4 linked regions of the Schizosaccharomyces pombe genome follow. Changing the gene in region 2 together with the main gene of any one other region gives a genetic interaction. Each region holds a gene or a part of one and is shown on either strand. Other genes may lie near its edges. The genes, in order: its3, pck2, ptc1 and ptc3.

What was found.
Region 1: mutations in pck2 (region 2) and its3 are lethal when combined (synthetic lethality), as found in Schizosaccharomyces pombe (one study listed by BioGRID).
Region 3: of pck2 (region 2) and ptc1, extra expression of one rescues a mutant of the other (dosage rescue), as found in Schizosaccharomyces pombe (one study listed by BioGRID).
Region 4: of pck2 (region 2) and ptc3, extra expression of one rescues a mutant of the other (dosage rescue), as found in Schizosaccharomyces pombe (one study listed by BioGRID).

The regions. Positions count from the first base shown.
Region 1 is NC_003424.3:4,070,418-4,075,536, forward strand, and holds its3 (1-phosphatidylinositol-4-phosphate 5-kinase Its3), read left to right. Parts: upstream 1-1,718; 5' UTR 1,719-1,958; coding exon 1,959-3,709; exon of another isoform or gene 3,710-3,762; coding exon 3,763-3,874; exon of another isoform or gene 3,875-3,877; intron 3,878-3,970; coding exon 3,971-4,336; 3' UTR 4,337-4,619; downstream 4,620-5,119. Other genes in the region: protein Poz1, read right to left, coding at 1-196, 234-339; trehalose-6-phosphate phosphatase Tpp1, read right to left, coding at 4,850-5,119. UniProt on the Schizosaccharomyces pombe protein: Catalyzes the phosphorylation of phosphatidylinositol 4-phosphate on the fifth hydroxyl of the myo-inositol ring, to form phosphatidylinositol 4,5-bisphosphate. Involved, together with the calcineurin ppb1, in cytokinesis.
Region 2 is NC_003423.3:2,308,595-2,315,008, reverse strand, and holds pck2 (protein kinase C (PKC)-like Pck2), read left to right. Parts: upstream 1-2,000; 5' UTR 2,001-2,171; coding exon 2,172-5,222; 3' UTR 5,223-5,572; downstream 5,573-6,414. Other genes in the region: SPOM_SPBC12D12.05C (calcium-binding subfamily carrier protein), read left to right, coding at 1-340; DNA polymerase zeta Rev7, read right to left, coding at 533-732, 802-905, 954-1,069, 1,112-1,224, 1,265-1,315, 1,359-1,385, 1,435-1,465; chaperonin-containing T-complex alpha subunit Cct1, read right to left, coding at 5,573-6,414. UniProt on the Schizosaccharomyces pombe protein: Involved in the control of the cell shape. Target of the inhibitor staurosporine.
Region 3 is NC_003421.2:2,002,523-2,006,948, forward strand, and holds ptc1 (serine/threonine protein phosphatase PP2C catalytic subunit Ptc1), read left to right. Parts: upstream 1-2,013; 5' UTR 2,014-2,156; coding exon 2,157-3,200; 3' UTR 3,201-3,870; downstream 3,871-4,426. Other genes in the region: GATA-type transcription factor Ams2, read left to right, coding at 1-960; SPOM_SPCC4F11.03C (uncharacterized protein), read right to left, coding at 4,210-4,426. UniProt on the Schizosaccharomyces pombe protein: Serine and threonine phosphatase. Has a specialized role in the heat shock response. May be responsible for the dephosphorylation of hsp90.
Region 4 is NC_003424.3:819,232-823,766, reverse strand, and holds ptc3 (protein phosphatase PP2C catalytic subunit Ptc3), read left to right. Parts: upstream 1-1,982; 5' UTR 1,983-2,062; coding exon 2,063-2,390; intron 2,391-2,638; exon of another isoform or gene 2,639-2,648; coding exon 2,649-2,722; exon of another isoform or gene 2,723-2,761; coding exon 2,762-3,604; 3' UTR 3,605-3,999; downstream 4,000-4,535. Other genes in the region: SPOM_SPAC2G11.09 (Ca(2+) transporter), read right to left, coding at 1-28; smn1 (SMN complex subunit Smn1/Gem1), read left to right, coding at 918-1,278, 1,338-1,435; AAA family ATPase Vps4, read right to left, coding at 4,117-4,535. UniProt on the Schizosaccharomyces pombe protein: Dephosphorylating regulator for many key proteins. Has an important role in osmotic stability and cell shape control. It may negatively regulate the osmosensing signal transmitted through wis1 map kinase.

The sequences.
Region 1 (5,119 bases), on a different chromosome or scaffold from region 2:
TCTAAAGCATTGCTAATAAGAGAATATTCCCAAAGAATTTGTTGACTATCCGGCTGAGTTTGGGTAATCGGAAGGTTTTGAAATGAAGAAGGGTCAAGCGAAAGATTGAAGCAATACTCAATGAATGCGATATCCATGAATATCGGCATTTTTTCATGACACATTGATTTCGAATAACCCAAATATCGTAAGCAGGCTAATTGGTTAATGATTTTCAAGATTGGCTTTCATACCGTTCACAATGGAAGATTCTTCTCTCTGCATATCATAATGATTTTCCTTGATGAAAAACGTTTCTAGTGTATTCAGCACAGATTGTGAACGAATCTTCTCATTCATTTTATGGAAAAAACTAATCTATACACGAAGGATAAAAGTATAAAAAGTTGGTAAAGTCAATGTAAGTTGGTCTACGAGATAAAATGAATACCATTCCGTAAGAGAAAATAAATCATTTAATAAAGAAATCTAAAAACGAATGGATCGAATAGCTTTGTCTACTGTTATGTTTCTTGGAACATCGTACAGAAGACGAATTTAACTCCTTAAAGAAGTGTATTTTGTTTAATGTTATAAATTATTCCCTTAAACAGTGAACTGCTTTATCCAAAAAAGCGGTAAGCAAAATTTCCAAATGAAAAAAGTATTTGAATGGAAGATCGACTTTGGCGTGACAAAAGAATAAATTTTACTCTCCATTTTAAGTCCTTCATTTTCATAACGCTATGCCAATTACCTTGGATCACGGTGGTGTTTGTGCCTTAAGACATGAAAAGCTTACGAAATAAACATGCTTTAGGCGATTGATCATTTCTTCCAAGATATTTTTCCTTATTCAATCTCAAAAATTACTCTAATTTGTTATTTGCTAGAACTAAATGATCCATCTGATTGAATGTTTTTACTACCCAAGCCTCTTAAGATTCTATCCGAAGTTCTTTATTTACTTGTGCACAAAACCCGAAGGAATGGGAAAAGCAATTATCTATCTAGTAAGACAAAAAACATTAGATACTGTCCTTTGATTATAATTTCAATGGATTCTTAAAGTTGAATATTCAGTGCTAGCTTCTTTATATTATAGACATTCAAAGTAAACTTGAGAACGAAGAAAAGGAATATTGGATATTTCCTTTTTCTTTTTGTTAAATATATATATATATATATATTTTTGGAAAATAAAAATAAATTGATATGTTTGAAATAAACGAAGTATACGTTATGTGTATCTTACTTTAATTTTTTTTAACTTTATTTTATTATTTATTTTTTTTTTAAGGAAATTTCAAATCTTTAGATTTTCAAAATAGCTCAATCATTTGCTGTACTTATCCATGCAAGCTTAATCATTATAAATTGATTAATAGAGGTTCTAAAAAGTAAGCCTTTATAAAATTGGATTTACAGCATCCAGCTCTTCACGCAACACACCCATATCGATGCTTTTGTTTACGTTGAGCAGATTCGTTTTGTTTACATTCAACGAAATCGACGTTGTCAACGACTTCAAACATCGCAAGCTTATGGACTATTCGCAATAATGGAACTGGGTTTCAGAAGTTTTTGGCTTGGTAAATTCGGGATTGCTCCTTTCCCATACAGAAAGCGATAATTTTATCCATTTACTGCCATTAGTGCGAATTATTGGAGAATGTGCCGGACAATTCGGTGAACTCCGGTGACTTTATATATCTAGGGAAGAAACTGGTAGAAACAACACTTCGCTGGTATCAAGTGTTTTGCGGTGAAAGAGTTGATAAAAAAGAGAATTAAGCTGCTCTTTTCGGTAAATTAAAACATTTTGAATAACTTGGGAAAAAACTTGCTTTTGTAGGAACTGAAAAACGACGAAATTGACGTCTTCAAATTGTTTGTTAAAAAACGGAATCAAAAATTGTGTTTGGAGTCCATTGGCGAGTAAATTTTTAACTCTTCATATATGTTTGTAGGAAACACTAATGAAAATTGATTCAAACGGCATAGTGAATCCGCATTCTATAACGAACGAAATCCCTTCGTATGATGAAAAGCAGGCTGTCGATTTGAATGGGAATGCTTTTGCTCCAAATGGTACGTTTCAAAAAAAGGATTTGATATCCCATAAAAACGATTTCGAACGTACGATGCGCCACGATGTTCTTCATACCAACCCCAAAATCGAAGTTCGGTCGGAGACCCATATTTATGAACCTAACGATTCATTATTTAAGGAAAATCAAGATTTCCCCTCAAATCCCACTGCCCACTCTCCTTCTTCCTCTTCTAACGATTCGGTAATTACGGCTACTGGCGTACCTGATGGTATCTTGAGAGATTCTCCCATCGTAAGTGCCCTCGAGCCTCCTTCCTCCAATTCTTCCTCTTCTCCCCAATTACAAAATTTAAAGCATCAATTATCCTCTCCTCAACCTTCTCGCGCCCCCATAGATCGCTCTTCCTCCAACCCTGTAACCTCATCTCAGCAGCCACCTAATGATCGTTCCACGCTCAGCTCCTCGCAGAAGGCGAAGCGGCCGCTAAAGCGATCTTACTCCGAAAAAAATTCTAGCAACGCTGAACCTTCTGGCTCGAGATCCGGCGACCGAGGTACCAACGTCAGTACCTCGGGTTCTCTTTTGGATGGCATTCCCCCCGATATTGGCTCTGCTAGCTGGGCTGAAGCAGTCAAACAAAAACGTGTTAACATGCGCCGTCGCAGGGAAGAACTGGACGATGAGTGCGTTCTCGTTGGAACTAGAGTTTCAGAGGGCCATGAAAACTATGTTACAGCGTACAACATGCTTACTGGAATTCGCGTCGGTGTTTCTCGTTGCCAAGCGAAAATGGACCGTGAGCTTACTCCTGCTGATTTTACTGCTCGTCACAAGTTTACCTTTGACATTACTGGCAACGAACTCACTCCCTCCGCCAAGTATGATTTTAAGTTCAAAGATTATGCACCTTGGGTATTTAGACATCTAAGGCAGCTGTTTCATTTAGATGCTGCAGATTATCTTGTATCTCTTACCAGTAAGTACATTTTGTCTGAGTTAGATTCTCCTGGGAAAAGTGGTTCTTTTTTTTATTTTTCTCGTGACTATCGATTCATTATTAAAACAATCCATCACTCTGAGCACAAATTTTTGCGTGAAATTCTTTATGATTACTACGAACACGTCAAGAATAATCCGAACACATTGATTTCGCAATTTTATGGGTTGCATAGGGTAAAATTACCCTTTGGCCGAAAAATCCATTTTGTTGTAATGAACAACCTTTTCCCACCTCATCGTGATATCCACCAAACTTTTGATCTCAAAGGATCCACCCTAGGAAGGGAACTCGACGAAAATCAACCTTGTCAAAGTCCCATGTGTACAATGAAAGATACAAATTGGATTCGCAGAAATATGCATCTTCAGTTTGGTCCTTTAAAGCGTCAGATATTCTTAACTCAGGTCAAAGCCGATATTGATATGCTGTCCTCTTTAGGAATTATGGATTACAGTTTACTTGTCGGCATCCATGACCTTTCACGTGGTAATCGTGACAAAATTCGTAATAGCATTCTGTCAGTTTACGACCCAAATGTGTCGCAACATCGAGTGCCCTCGATTAATGGCAATGAATCTCACTCAAACGTTCATGTAATCAGACAAGTCGTTAATAGCACCGGTCCTGTTTCGTTGGATCAATCTTGTAATCTATTGCCGACCGACCAGTTCGTTGAGTAAGTGCTTATTATTTTTTTAACAATTAGACTATTTTTTAACACTATTTTAGGAGAAGAAACTTCATGTTCTACAGTGATGACGGTGGATTCCAAGCCACCGATGAAAACAATGAGCCAGGAAACTTTATCTTTTATATCGGAATAATTGACTTACTTACTAAGGTATGATAAATTGCGTAAATTTTTTTATGGGAATGCAAAGTCTTTTACTTGTTTTCCTTGTTTGCTTTTATTTTCATTATACTTACCGGTGTTTAGTATTCATATGTTAAGCGCGTTGAGCATTTATGGAAGGGCATTAATCATTCAGATTCTGTCATTTCTGCTGTTCCACCTGCTGAATACGCTTCACGCTTCTACAAATTTGTAGAGTCAAGTATTAAGCCAACTCTTTTAGTTTTGAAACCATTCCCCTTAAAACCGCAGGATGGCCAGCGTGTTAACAAACAGCAAAGCGTTAATGCTGGCAATGTGCGCACTAATAACAAGCATGGTTCTCTTAATAATAATACAGCTCCTTCTTCTCGCAATGCTAAAAGCACTTCTGCTCATAAATCACCCAAAACAGAACACCGATTTCCATTCCCATGCCGCAATGTTACTACGAACACTTCTTCATCTTAATAAATTTTAATGTCTTTGAAGTGCACATATTTCAAGTTTAATGCATTTATTTATAATGCTTTACCACCTTTTTATTCTTGTATATATTGGCTAATTTATCTTTTTATTTTAGAGAAAAAACAAAGCAAAGCATGTATGCCGAAGTGCATTAACGGATGCACAACCTATAACTTATTGCTCTAATTAGCGCTTTTATTATTTACATCTCAAATAACTTATGTTCGTCAGTTCCTCACCAATCTTTGTCAAAAAGCTATATTATTATGATATAACTTAAAATTCATTAGGAAGAAAGTATGCTTTTGTAACGAGTAAACGTATGTACTTAGAAAAGAGCGATTCATAGTAGTGGAAGTAGTTCAATTACGAAGACCTCTCAACTAAACATAAATAACTAGAGCATAAATTAATTTAAAGGCTGAACTAAGATCCAGGATTGTGTGTCTCAATAAATAAATCTTTGTAAAGAACAAGATGAATCGGGCATCTTCGTTGAAATAGTTAGTTTGTCATTCAGTTAGTAAAATTTGCCAAATCAGCAAGGATATCAATAACATTTGCAGGGTCTGCGATACACCAGTCGGCGATAGAAAGCTTTTTGTCGGATCCAATGGTAACTGCAAATGAAGTTTCCTTGTTAATACGAGTGTTTTTATGCAAAGAGCGGAACATATCTTCATCAGTTCTATCATCACCTGCACAAAAGATAAAAGAAGGAAGTGAATCTTCTGGATACGAACTTAAAATCTGTTTGACAATTCCTCCTTTGTTGATACTGGAAGG
Region 2 (6,414 bases):
GACATGGATAGGTATCTTAGCAAGTCGTGACAATGTCGATCCACAAGATGTGAAACTTCCTAATGGTTTAGTGATGGCATTTGGAGCACTTTCTGGAAGCACTGGCGCTACCATAGTGTTTCCACTTAATGTCATACGTACTCGTTTACAAACGCAAGGTACGTCTGCACATCCTGCAACATACGATGGATTTATAGACTGCTTTTACAAAACTACAAAAAATGAAGGTTTCCGTGGGCTTTATAAAGGATTGTCTCCTAATTTGTTGAAGGTAGCACCTAGTGTCGCTATTTCATATCTGGTATATGAGAATTGCAAAAAATGGTTGGGCCTAGAGTAAGGCACATTTTCTAACTATTTATAATTCTTATTGGTAGGGACCTTTACTTCAAAATTAATAATTCTTTCATTGATAATGATAATCCTTTATCGCAAAACTGATTCTTTATTTACTTTACCTAATCCCCTCTTATTTCATAGCAGATACCCATTTTTCTTGCACTACATTCTGAAAAGAAAATTAGAGATACCTCTAATCCGAATTTGTATATTTCTCGACCCAAATTTCCGTCATCATTGGTCCAATATCCACATTTCGAACAGGAATGGTGATGCCCTTAAATTGCCTTGTTGCGTCTGTTTCTCTCGCTTGCGGCGGAAGAAACCACTCTTCCCATTGTTTTGGTCTGGGAAAACCATCTTTTAGCGTTACCCGAAGCGTCCAAGTGCATTCTAATTTCAGTATTATTAGAATTGAATTTAGTAATAGAATATTTTTTTAGAAAATAATACTGTTTATACCTTGTTCAATAAGAGGAAGTCCATTTGTTATATTGAGTAATTGGATGAGCGAAGCTCTCATGTATTCAACGTAAGCATCTGTGAATGGCTCATTTGTTGAAATTCTACAATATTGTTAAAAGATGCCTATGCCAAGCTAATGATAGTCATACTGTTTCTCAAGTAAGAAATCAGGAATAATCGGGATAGAATCCGTTGAAAAGACATATCGTTCCTCTTCTCGCTGCTCTTTGTTAATAATAGAGAGTGCAACTTGATGTACTGATCCCTAGACGAGCAGTTAGAAAAAGAATTGGATGACTAAGAATACCGTCTGAAGCTCCTCGATACAAGATTGCACTACTTCTTCAATATATTCGCACAAGATCGGATGCCTTGATTGCCAGACAATTGTATTGTATTTTCGAGCTTTTATAAAAAGGTCTAATATGAGAGTTAAATCAAAAGCTAAAAAATCGAATACCTTGAGGATAGAGTCTTCTAGCGTAAAGAATACAATGAATGCTTACAAGCACTGAATTGTAAGCAAAAATGGAAGTTCAAAGTTGCACACATACAAAATTCTCCAAATATATCAATACATTCTAATAGTTTAGCAAGCAAAAGACCCAAATAATCATACTAATAACATACTTTTCACAGACCATCCTGTGTCGTTTTCCATCAGACATGAACGATACGATGATTACTATATTCAAAAATTTCTTAATATGTTCGTTCAAATTCGAGAATTCTATCTTTTCTGAATGAAGCGAGAAAATAAATAAATTATAAAGTTATTAAACCAAAGATATGCAAACTAAAAGAATATCAGCAAACATAGTAATTACATGGATTACAATAACGTACCCGCGATTATTGACGGGATTCCGTAAAACTAACAAAAGACAAATAAGATAGCTGGATAATGAACTGTTCTATTAATTGGTCAATATTTTTTTATTTTGCGTTATTACAATTTTAGCATCAATCAAATAAAATTGGACATGTGACAAAAATATTTATGGGGTAAAGTTCTGTAAAATCGTTATTTTCAAGATTAACGTGCCAAAATCCTTCGAAATTATAACAGGGGTCGCTGAAAAATTTGCCCATATATTTCAATAAATTTTGAAAAAGGAATGGAGTGGTGGGATTCTTTGAATTGCTTGCGAAATCCCTGCGAGCTTGCCAGTCTTACTTCATAGCTACCGCCTTCCAACTACTAAACGTACGAAAACATCGAAAGGACTAAAGCGGGTGTTTACTAGCATTTTATCGAGCTTAAAAGTCTTAATGAAATCTTATAATCACATTAATATTAAAAACGGAAGCGAAAAATTGCAGATAAGAAGTTAAGCGGAAAAATCAGGATTAGGCCATTTAAAGTAATGGATATGATTGATGAGGCTATAACAGAAGTTGTTAGGAAAATTGAAAGAGAAAGATCAGTTATTCATGGCGCCCTTTCCATGAAGCGCTTGACTCAGAATCAGACAGTTCACCAACAACTTCATAGCAATATTGAAGAATCAAAAAAGAGCATTATTTATTTAGAAGAACGCTTAGAAAAACTAAAGCTTCGCAAAAATGGTGTCCGAAAGAGTAATTCTGAGAAACCGTCCGTTGGCATTGAGAAGAATCCATCCTTTAGCACTACAAAATCCGCTAAAAGCTTTTCCTCTACTTCTTCTAATATCGATTCTAACTTGGATTTGCTAAATTATGATACCCCTCTTACTATTTCAAAGATATCATTCTTATTACAACAATTGGAGTTCAAATTATCTGTTGAGGAACAATATCGAAAAGGTATTGAAAAGATGGCAAAGCTCTATGAGCGTGAACATGACCGTCGTAGTATAGCTGAAGCAGAGAAGAAGTATGTAGAAAGTGCTCAAAAGATTACCTTACTCAAGCAAGCTTTGAAGCGATACCATGACTTGCATATCGAAATCGATGAGGAAGATGTTCCCAGTACGGAAAGTAGAGGTAACTTAAATGCCCGTCGTCCCCAGTCTGGTCTCCTTAAAATTACCGTAGGATCTCTAAGGAACGTCACGCATTCTGCTGGAATCTCCAAGCAAACGGAAATGATAGTTGCAATTCGTGCAGAGGATCTTGAGCGTGCACGTACTCGTCCAAGCCGCACCGACCGTTTTAATGAAACTTTTGAAATTGATCTGGAGAAGACTAATGAGGTCGAAATAGTTGTTTACGAAAAGAAAAATGAAAAATTGCTATTACCTGTTGGTTTACTTTGGATACGGTTATCGGATTTAGTAGAAAAACAAAGGCGAAAAAAGGTTGAACAAGAGGTTTCAGATAAAGGTTGGGTTAGTGCCGACAAAATGATTAATCAAAGACTTTCAATATTTTTACCTTCTGCTCTTAATAATATTTCAAAGCCTGAAAGTACTGACCGCCCCAACACAGCTAGCGGTAATCAAAGTGTGAGTGCTTGGTTTTCTCTTGAACCCATGGGACAAATTAATTTGACCATGAATTTCACAAAGCATAATACAAGGAAGAGACCTATGGATGCTGGCCTCGGTCGTCAAGGTGCTATCCGTCAACGCAAGGAAAGCGTACACGAAGTTTATGGTCACAAATTTCTACAACATCAATTTTATCAAATTATGCGTTGTGCTTTATGTGGAGAGTTTTTGAAGAATGCTGCTGGTATGCAGTGCATTGATTGTCATTACACCTGTCATAAAAAATGCTATCCAAAGGTAGTTACTAAATGCATTTCAAAGTCTAGCGATTCTGCTTCTAGCGAATACGAGAAAATCAACCATAGAATTCCTCATCATTTTGAATCTCACACAAACATAGGTGCTAATTGGTGCTGTCACTGTGGCTACATCCTTCCTTTAGGAAGAAAAACTGCCAGGAAATGTACGGAGTGTGGAATAACTGCGCACGCTCAGTGTGTTCATCTTGTTCCGGATTTCTGTGGTATGTCTATGGAGATGGCTAACCGGGTTATTTCTGAGATTCGTACAACTAAAATTTATAAAGCTCAACAACATAAACAGAAAAGTTCACATCACAAGCATCATCATCATAAAAAGTCTAAGTCTTCATCTTCGAAACATAAGGAAAATGACAAAGCATCCGTTTCTATTACAACCACCACAACACCATCTATCACTCCTGCAGACCCTGTTCCAACTTCTCCAAAACCACTGGCAATTGAACCGGTTAAAAGAAAGCCTGTACATGCCGGTAATTTAGAAGTGACATCAGTCTCTGATAATAAACTTGGCGCTACAGTTCAGGTTGTCGAGCAGAAAGTGGATGACAAAGCTGATGCGTTGACGAAACCTCCTTCCCTAGATGCTGTGAAAGAGCCAATCCCAGTACCATCAGTTGAAACCTCTGTTGTTGCTCAAGACCTAACGCATAAAGCTAAGCGTATCGGACTTGAAGACTTTACTTTCTTATCTGTGCTAGGCAAAGGAAATTTCGGTAAAGTAATGCTGGCTGAGCTTAAAAGTGAAAAGCAATTGTATGCTATTAAAGTTTTGAAAAAGGAATTCATCTTAGAAAACGATGAAGTCGAAAGCACTAAATCCGAAAAACGCGTTTTTCTCGTTGCCAACCGAGAGCGTCATCCATTTTTGGTAAACCTGCATTCTTGCTTTCAAACCGAAACCCGTATTTACTTTGTCATGGATTTTGTGAGTGGTGGTGATTTGATGCTTCACATTCAACAGGAACAATTTTCACGTAGAAGGGCACAGTTTTATGCTGCTGAGGTGTGTCTTGCTCTAAAATACTTTCATGATAACGGTATCATATACCGTGATCTTAAGCTTGATAATATCCTTTTAAGCCCAGATGGTCATGTTAAAGTGGCCGATTATGGTTTGTGTAAGGAAGACATGTGGCATGATAACACTACTGCCACGTTTTGCGGTACTCCTGAATTTATGGCACCGGAAATCTTATTAGAACAGCAATATACGAGAAGCGTTGACTGGTGGGCTTTTGGTGTACTAATTTACCAAATGCTGCTTGGTCAATCTCCATTTAGAGGAGAAGACGAAGAAGAAATTTTTGATGCAATTTTATCTGATGAACCTTTGTATCCTATTCATATGCCAAGGGATTCCGTTTCTATATTACAACAACTTTTGACTCGCGATCCTAAAAAACGACTTGGATCTGGCCCTAACGATGCAGAAGATGTCATGACTCATCCATTTTTTAGTAACATTAATTGGGATGACATCTATCATAAGCGAACTCAACCACCGTACATTCCAAGTTTGAATTCACCTACGGACACCAAGTATTTCGATGAGGAATTTACCCGAGAACTCCCAGTTCTTACTCCTGTTAATTCTATTCTGACGAAAGAGATGCAGCAACATTTTGAAGGTTTTTCTTATTCATGCGAGGATGATAAACCCTCGACTACCGATAATGCTTAGCACCTTAAATTGAGCATAAAGTTACTCTCATTTTCTTAATCTTTCATTGCATTGATAAATTATTCTAATTTCGACTTTTTAAACTAAACATTTTTGGATTTCTTTACTACCTGGGTTGTATCTATGATATTATAAGCATGCACATTAATAATCCATACAGTGGCATTAGACTTTTGTTTATGAAAGCACTAGCAAAGTAGTAATTTACTGAGTTTAATAATTTACCGTTTATTGGTCAACAGCTATAGTGCTAATATATGTTAATATCCATCGCATTTGTATCTATGGAGCAAAATTTTTGGATACATTCAATGAAACCCGCCAAATATACCTATGCTTAAGTAATTGCTTTAGTGCAACCCTGCATGTGGGTCTTCTGGTTGTCTTTCGGGATCAAGTTTGATACTAGTATCGATACGTAAAATAGCAATGCATGCCTCAACGGCGCTCTTCAAACTTTTCAACTTAGACATGGATGGCTCAAGAACACCAGCCTTAACATTATCACGAATTACGCCATTAAGTAAATCAAGACCATAATTTTTGTATCCCCGTTTCTTAACATCTGTAACCTCAGCATTTTGACTGGCTGCGTGATAAGCACGCAACTTAGCTGTCAGTTCAGTAGAGTCTTTGGCGGCATTGACGGCCAAAGTTCTGGGAATAATTAACAAAGCTTGTGCAAACTCAGCAATTGCAAGTTGCTCACGAGAGCCCAAAGAGGTAGCAAAATTTTCCAAGTAAATGCTCAGAGCTGTTTCCACAGCGCCGCCACCAGGAACGACTTTGCCGCTCTCAAGAGTGCGTTTGACGACGCTTAAAGAATCATGCATTGAACGCTCCATTTCATCTAAAGAGTATTCATTGGGGCCTCGCAGAACAATTGATGCAGACGAATAAGCTTTGGTTCCTTTGACAAGAATACATTCATCATCCGAAAATTTTTCTTGAACAACCTCTTCAGCCGAGCCCAAGTAGGAACTTTCAAAGGTTTCTTCACCCTCTAAATTTGACAATGAACTGAGTAAGGTAGCACCGGAAGCCTTGGCGATACGTCTCAAATCTTCCTTTTTGCATCTACGAACAGCCATTGCGCCAGCTTCAATAATGGATTTCAAACAGAGATCATCAATGCCCTTTGTGGTAAGAATAACATTGGCACCCGCATTGAGAATTTTTTTGACGCGTTCCA
Region 3 (4,426 bases), on a different chromosome or scaffold from region 2:
GGTATATATTGGACGAGTCGGCGCTCGATGCGTCCAAGAAATTTATGGTCTACCTATAAAGCATTTGAAACAGAGAAACCGTTGGAAAATGATGCATTTGCTCAGCTTGAGTTAGCCGTATATAAACTTTCCCAGCAACGAAAACTATCTATATCCATCTTCCGTGAGCTTGAAAATGCAGGACGGCACTCTCCTCTGAATAGACTTACGTCTTTAGACTCAACACACTCTGCACCTGATCCCAATCATATCTCAAAACCCTCTGTTGTTAATCAGCAGAAATCCAGAGGAGGTCCCCGTACTGCTAAGCTGAAAAATGACCTCAGACGCATACAATCATCTCCCATTGTTGCACCTACTCCTGATACATCATTTCGTGAGCCTTTATCCGAAATTGGGTCTAATGATAGTTGGCTGGTATTACCAAATTCACTAAGTGCCAATATACAAAATGATGTTTTAAGAAAAACTGATTTCATGTGTACTGACAAGGAAAACGTCGCTTTTCCTTTGAAAACCACAACAAAGCCTATGCCTAAAGTAAATAAAGAAGAGACAGAGCCAACTCTGCCTGTTTGCGATTCAGAAAAAGAAAATGATGATTTAGAGTGCTATTTCAGAACCCCTCCAAAACCAACTACCTTACAAAAGCAACAACAAAGTCCATCACCCTGGAGGTCAGAGTTATTTTTGTCTGACCCTGACCAAAACGTATTGACACCAAGGCATAAGCCAAAGTTTGATTTATCAAAGGCATTGTCTTCGGTTGCAAAATCCAATAACATTGAGAATTCACCTCAATTACCAGAAAGATATGATTTTTCTTTAGAATTGGGGTTGAATTCTCAACTCGATAATGAAGAAAGACGCGATATTCCTCTGATGACAGATTTGGTGATGCCAAGTAGTCCGCCCATGGTCCCTGCTGACAGGCATTTATCCGTTGAAAACACTTGTTGAAAGAGCGATAAAGGCGTACCTTTGCTTCACACATTACCCTTGTTCTTTAATTTTTTGTTTTATCAAGAAGTCATGTGTGATCAAAATTGACATCTTTCATTATTCGAGTCTTCTTGCTTTTTTATGATTTTTATTTTGATAATGACATCCTTAATTCGTTTTCTTAACCGCAAAAAAATGATTGTTGCTGTTAAAGTCCTTACTGCGTAAGAACTCCCAAGGCATGTCCCCTCAAATCCGTCCTTCGTTCTTTTTATTTCTAAAGCAATTTATTTTATTTTCTTTCATACCATGAGCCGTTATTACCTCCCCCTTGATTATTAAAATATTTCAAGTCGTTGCTTATTGTTGGCGGCATAGCCAAGAGCATGCGACAAGCATTCTATAAATCTTGTCGCAAAATAGAAGTTGGACACTATTTCTTTTAATCTTCTCAAATGTTCTTCGACTTCATCTTTGAGGCTCGGTTTATGGAAATTTTGGATACTTCGTGATAGTTCTGTCTGTTTTGCTTATACAAACAAATTATAATTTCATTAATTGTATTATGAAAGCCGATATGGACAAAGCCACATCCTTATTTTACATACGGAAAAAGTTACTTTTAATTATTTATATGAACACTGTTATTCTTGTTAGCATGTTTATGTTGCGAAACGTTTCTAATTGATTATTATGGGTAGACCGGATAATTGATATTTAGCAAATTCACTAGACGAACACATGACAAATTTTTTTCAGTAATGCGAACCAAAGTCACGCGAAAGCAAGTGTAAAAGTCGAAGGATTTCAATACATGGTTCAATATTTTTGTCTAGAATAAATCAAACGTTTAGTTCATATATTCAAAACAACAGCTTATTGCTGCTTACTATTTCTAATTTTCTAATAGCCTTTTGTTAGCATTTTTGTATTATAATGTAGTTCAATGCAGAGCGGATAACGGTTTAGTGGAAGTTAACCTAGTACGTAAAAATGATTTCCGAAGATCTCGGTATACCACGCGTGACGTAAATGCCCGAGTTTATTAGCACTGACTGACTTAACAAGTTTATACTTACGCAGAAACCCAAGGAAAATCGGTGTTTCTCGTATATACTATACAATCAGCAATTTTATACCTGATATTATAATTGAAGGTATTTAGTTAATTTGAAAAGCAATTTTTTTGTCGGTACTGAAGTGTTTGAACGAATATGAAGGGAAGCCATCCAAATGCAGGTTCCCTGTTGGAACCACTTCACAAGTTGAACCCATTTTCTGAAAATTCTACAAGTGGACATCGAAAAAACGCTAGTGATCATTCGGCGGATGGAGAAACTCGACCGATTGCAATTGAGATGAAGGATAGTAAAGGCAACACAGTCCCAGTTGGTAACTCGCGCCCTAGTAAAGCCTCTAACTGGCTTGCTGGACTGATGGAGGATAAAAACCAAAGATGGCGTAGGTCTATGGAGGATACTCATATTTGCTTGTATGATTTTGGGGGTAATCAGGACGACGGCTTCGTTGCCGTTTATGACGGACATGCTGGCATTCAAGCATCTGACTACTGTCAGAAGAATCTTCACAAGGTACTTTTGGAAAAGGTTAGGAATGAGCCGGACCGGCTGGTCACAGACCTAATGGACGAAACATTTGTCGAGGTCAACAGCAAAATTGCAAAGGCTACTCACAATGACATTTGCGGTTGTACCGCTGCAGTTGCTTTCTTTAGATATGAGAAAAACCGCACCCGCCGTGTTCTCTACACAGCTAATGCAGGTGATGCACGTATCGTATTATGCCGTGATGGTAAGGCTATTCGACTTTCTTACGATCACAAGGGATCCGATGCCAATGAGTCTCGTCGTGTGACCCAGTTGGGTGGTCTCATGGTACAAAACCGAATTAATGGCGTTCTTGCTGTCACAAGGGCCTTAGGTGATACCTATCTTAAGGAATTGGTCAGTGCGCATCCCTTCACCACTGAAACCCGAATCTGGAACGGTCATGATGAGTTCTTCATTATCGCTTGTGATGGCTTGTGGGATGTAGTATCGGATCAGGAAGCTGTCGACTTTGTTCGCAATTTCGTAAGCCCTCGCGAAGCCGCTGTTCGCCTGGTAGAATTTGCATTAAAACGTCTTAGTACAGACAATATCACTTGTATTGTAGTTAACTTGACTCGCAATCCCGGTGATCTCGATGATTCAGGACTTACCGCTGATAATGATTCATACAGTAATGACTATTATTAGGTATTTGATGGATTCAATGATGTGCTTTCTGTTGTTTCGTAACGGTTTTTCGATGTCTTTACCTCATCCACAGTACTTGTTTGGAAGCCGGAATGACTTAATCCTATTTTTTTGTTTACCAAGCACTGTAATTGCATCGATTCTTTTCCTTTATTTATGGACCTTGTATTCTCATTTGGACATGGTTTTCCTTTGGGTCGACTTATTTTTTCTAATTAATTACTCTTCTTTTTATAAACCACTTTGTGCATGTTTCTCTTGTTCTTCTTTTTTGTCTAAAAGTAATGTGTCTAAATATCGATCCTAAATCTGTCCAAATCTAGTTTCTTTTTTCTTTTTTCATGATTTGCTACCTTTTCCTCCAATCTGCGTGCCACTGTTCGAATCAATCGTATATTCATCATTAGCCCTCTTCATACCCATTTAAAGGTACAAACATTTCACTCTTTTTAAGGTTCTTCGTGAGTGTTTTCGGTATTTTTATTTACAATTGCTTCGCAAATATTATGAATGTACTTGCGTGCATGCATTGGTGTTTATAACAAAGGCTATACGTTCACCAAAAAAAATTTATTTTACCCTTTTATCGTCTTTAATTTTCGATTTAAAAGTCGAATTATAATTATTATTCTGAAGTTACGGGTTGTCTTTATTTTGTCCCGTTCCTGCTAAAATACCATTTGCACGTAAAAATATATATACATACACTAATTGTACCAAGTATTCGAGATTTTAGCATTGGCCTAAACATAGGAAAAAGACAACGCTTTTCTACTTACTGTCTCAACTCTAGTTTTCATACATAAAGGTGCAGAGCAATACAATCAAATGATACTCACCGGATAAAGACATGCAATTGTTTTTTATAATTACCGTTTATAGGTTTTTTGTTGAATGATCTGGAAATGAATGACTATAGTAATAGATAATAATACATGAAAAAAACATTGACAAATTGAAACAACCACGTTAAACCGATCATACATAGCTGAACTGAAGTCAACTCAACTCATTTTGTCATGGTGAAGTCAAAGTTCTCACCAAACAAGTCATTTATGCTTTCAGTGGTTGGAATGTCTGTAGGAAGATTTAGAGCGTTGTCAAACGTATTAGTTAAATGCGAAGCAAAGCTGCCATCATTACCGAACGCAGCACTGTAGTTTTCTTGTGCTTGCAAGTCAATTCCCATTTGCTGGTTAGGAAACAAAGAAGCCGATCCTGCAGTA
Region 4 (4,535 bases), on a different chromosome or scaffold from region 2:
CGAAAATACCATATCCATTGAAAGCCATTATTGCAAAGTAGCAAACTTAAGGGTCCTTTCGTCAAATTATCGAGGAATGAATGAACGATCGTTTCAGAAAATCGAGAACAAGAAAAATCTGATCTATCCAAGTATTATATGCATGTAAAAAGTAACGGAAAAAGGAAATTATCAAAAGATACACTATTGAAATATGTTATGATAGTTTTTCATGAACGAAAATCTTTAAAATATGAATGTATGTAGAGGAGGGATAGTAGAACGATACTCATCCAATACCCATTCGCATGGTCTTTCAGAATGCGATATGTACTTAACGTAAATTAAGATGACGATGCATAAAAATATGTAACGTAATTACGTGGAGCTACCTTAAATTCAATTAGGTAGTTTAAAATCTATCCCAGAAAGCTAACTTACTGAGAAGTCCTCGCTAAACCATATTAGCGCATGTAGCATTTAATGAATTATTCGTGTGGATATTAGATAACTGATTTAGGTTGATTTTTGTAGCTTATACAATTCCTTTTTCTTTTTGGTATAATAAAGCCAAAATCGTAAACAAAGATGAATTGGAATAAACATTCTTTCACAATACTTCCACGAGTTCACATCGCCATGTGCGAACCTCGTTATATCTTTGACCTCGAATTCTTGTAGTCCTGTCCACTAAGGCGGCTGATAGTTAAGGCAAGGAGCTAAGTTACCACAGCAGATTATAATTGTTGTAGTAAGCGGAATCGCCGAGCTCAAACTGTTTATCGTTATACGCGTTGTGCTTTATAAACAATATTTTCACTTTAATAATATTCAATTAATATAAGAGTTAACAAAGTTGGAAACTACTTGTTAATAAAGCTTTCTTAAGGTACAAAGAAAGACATACAGGAATAGATTATCTACAACTTGTACCAAAAATGGACCAGAGCCAAAAAGAAGTGTGGGATGATTCAGAGCTCAGAAATGCCTTTGAAACCGCTTTACATGAATTCAAAAAGTATCATAGTATTGAAGCAAAGGGAGGAGTATCGGACCCGGATTCTAGGCTAGATGGTGAAAAATTAATTTCAGCTGCACGGACAGAAGAATCAATAAGTAAGCTAGAAGAAGGTGAGCAGATGATAAATCAGCAAACAGAGACGACATTGGAAGGAGATACACATATCCAACAGTTTGCAGATAATAAAGGCCTTAGCGACGAAAAGCCTGAAACAAGGGCAGCAGAGACACATCAAGAGTTTATGGAAGTTCCTCCCCCTATAAGAGGGTTAACATATGGTAAGTAAAAGGTCTTCTAAGAAAATTTATGACTCTCTATTATTAACATAATGATTTAGACGAGACTTACAAAAAGCTTATCATGAGCTGGTACTATGCGGGCTACTATACAGGTTTAGCTGAAGGACTTGCTAAAAGTGAGCAACGTAAAGATTAGCTTCTTGTGCTATTTTTCAAAGTTATGTATATCTTCATTGTTGATGTTGTTATAAAACTGTTATCCTACTTGCTATTGCTAAGATTTATTACTCCTATCAAATAGTTCTATTTCAATTTTCTTTCTAATAAGTAGAATTTATTTGGTCATTTATTAAATCCAATGGAATTTTTAATTGAATCAAAATAATATCATTTTTGCCTAATAGAAATTTTTTCTGAATCAAGTTGCTGAATTTGTTGGGGCATTCTACTCAGCGTTGTTTTTGTCTCTATTGTAGTCATAGTAAAATGCAAACCATTGAAAAATCAATTTATAGGATATGCTATGTTTACACATGTTTTTTAATGAACATTTGAAATTTATAAGTATTTAGTCCTTGATACCATTTATTCTGTTGTTTACATATATGCCTTGACTACTGCTAATCTTGTTACCTTCCATAGTCTTTTAACAACTATCGTTCGTCTCCACGGTGGTGATGTAGTTGTAGAGGGTGCCACAACACTCCCTCCGACAAGCTCCACCACCTACTAGCGATTTACCTATCACTACTACATAACCCGTTTTGAAGCGACACAAAAAGAAAACGTGAAAATTTGTGTCATCTATTAGCAAGAGCTGTCAATGGGTCAGACATTATCAGAGCCAGTCACCGAGAAGCACTCGGTGAACGGGAGCAATGAGTTCGTCCTTTATGGACTTTCAAGCATGCAAGGATGGCGTATCTCAATGGAAGATGCTCATTCTGCTATACTTTCAATGGAGTGCTCTGCAGTAAAAGACCCGGTCGACTTTTTTGCGGTTTATGACGGCCACGGTGGAGACAAAGTCGCGAAATGGTGTGGAAGCAATCTTCCTCAGATTCTTGAAAAGAATCCTGATTTTCAGAAAGGCGATTTTGTTAATGCTTTGAAATCTTCATTTTTAAATGCTGATAAAGCTATTTTGGATGGTAAGTTTGTTGTTAACAATGATAAAGTTGTTTTCATTGATATCATAACCATTTTAAAGTCGCCAAAAAATTGATGAATTTTGTGTTTGAAATTTTTATAGATTTTTTGTTCTTTTGTCTAGTTAATGCTTAGAAAAATTGTTACCAAGATAATAGAAATGTTTACCTCTTGATGTTGAAAAGTTGTTACATTTAGTTTGGTTTCAGAAAAAAAATTTGTCATTTCACTACATTGCATTTTGCTAACTATTTTGACAGATGATCAATTTCATACGGATCCATCAGGTTGCACGGCCACTGTTGTTCTTCGTGTTGGAAATAAACTTTATTGTGTAAGTCTTGGAAGTTGTTTAGTCTTACTAATTGTGTAGGCTAATGCCGGTGACTCAAGAACTGTCCTTGGCAGTAAGGGAATTGCAAAACCTCTATCAGCAGACCATAAGCCTTCAAATGAAGCCGAAAAAGCCCGTATTTGTGCGGCTGGTGGCTTTGTAGACTTTGGCCGTGTAAATGGAAATTTGGCTTTGTCAAGAGCTATCGGTGATTTTGAGTTCAAAAACAGTAATTTAGAACCAGAAAAACAAATAGTTACTGCCTTACCGGATGTTGTTGTACATGAGATTACTGACGATGATGAATTCGTCGTACTCGCTTGTGATGGTATTTGGGATTGCAAGACTTCGCAGCAAGTGATCGAGTTTGTTAGACGTGGCATAGTTGCTGGAACCTCTCTTGAGAAGATTGCTGAAAATTTAATGGATAACTGCATAGCCAGTGACACCGAAACTACCGGCCTTGGTTGTGACAACATGACTGTTTGTATAGTTGCCTTATTGCAAGAAAACGATAAATCAGCATGGTATAAGAAGATTGCAGATAGAGTTGCCGCTAACGACGGACCCTGCGCTCCTCCTGAGTATGCCGAAAATCATGGCCCAGGATGGCGTAGTGGCGATAACAATAAGAAAGTTATTGTCCCACCTAATTTTCATCAAGTAAAGTTAAATGGATCTGATGGATATGACAAAGATGCGAATGAAAATTCTAAGGAAGATGATTCCACCAACGGATCCCTTGCAGCTGGGTTCAGATGGAAAGAACACTTTTTCCCTCATAAAGCCGAGGAGGAAAATTCTTCAAGTGAAACCGATATCGTAAATTCTAACAAAGATGTTGCGGATGATCATAAGGAGGCTGTGTCTGCAGCAGATTGATTATTCCCTACTTCACGCATATTACACAATGTAACTTGCTTTTAGGAATATTCCTCGTAATTAGCATTATTTGTTGACTTATTATAAAAGTCACGCTAGGCGGTTTTGTTTCAACATTTTTTCATGCTTTTCTTTTGTTGTTCGTATAATACGTGCCTGCGACGTATACCGATTACCTCCGAGAATGAAAAGGTTTTTGGTACGTTGCTACTTTGCACTTTTTGATAGCATGCGATTTCTATATCAATTTTGTCGAATACTGTCTTTTATAATCCTGATTCAAAATCAGTTAAGATTATGGAAAATATTTCTCTGGCATGAGTAAACATACCCAGACTAATTTCCGATTGCCCTAATAGATATTGTCGAAGCAATATACATTCCCTTCAATATTCTACTAGTTCCATAATTTACTAAAGTGATTCAACATTTGTGAGTGTAGTCATGATATTATACTTCTTTACAATAATGGTATCATTAAACTAAGCGAAAATAGCTCCTTTATCATATTACTATCCCTCTGCTCCAAAGTCCTTTGTAAATTGTGTGTGCTTTTCTATATCACCAGCATTAAGCGTAGGCTTGACTTTACGAACTGCACTGTAGAAATCTCGAACAGTAAGTTTTGGTTCCATAATGTCTTCAGGATTCACCTCTAGCCAACTAGATTCAAATGCATCAGGATCACCAGGAGAACAAGGAGTTACAAGGGTCCTATTAGACTTGTTATCATATACCTCTTTGAAATGGGTAGCTGTGTGAATTCGTCTTACAGGCTCCATTATTGCATCACGAACAACAATAGAAATATCTGAACCCGAGTAGCCATCGGTCATTTTAGCAAGTTCTTTGAAATCTTGTGAGGTCAGTTCCGAAGGTATTTTACCGACATTAAGCTCGAACATCCGAGCGCGGGCATGAGCATTAGGCA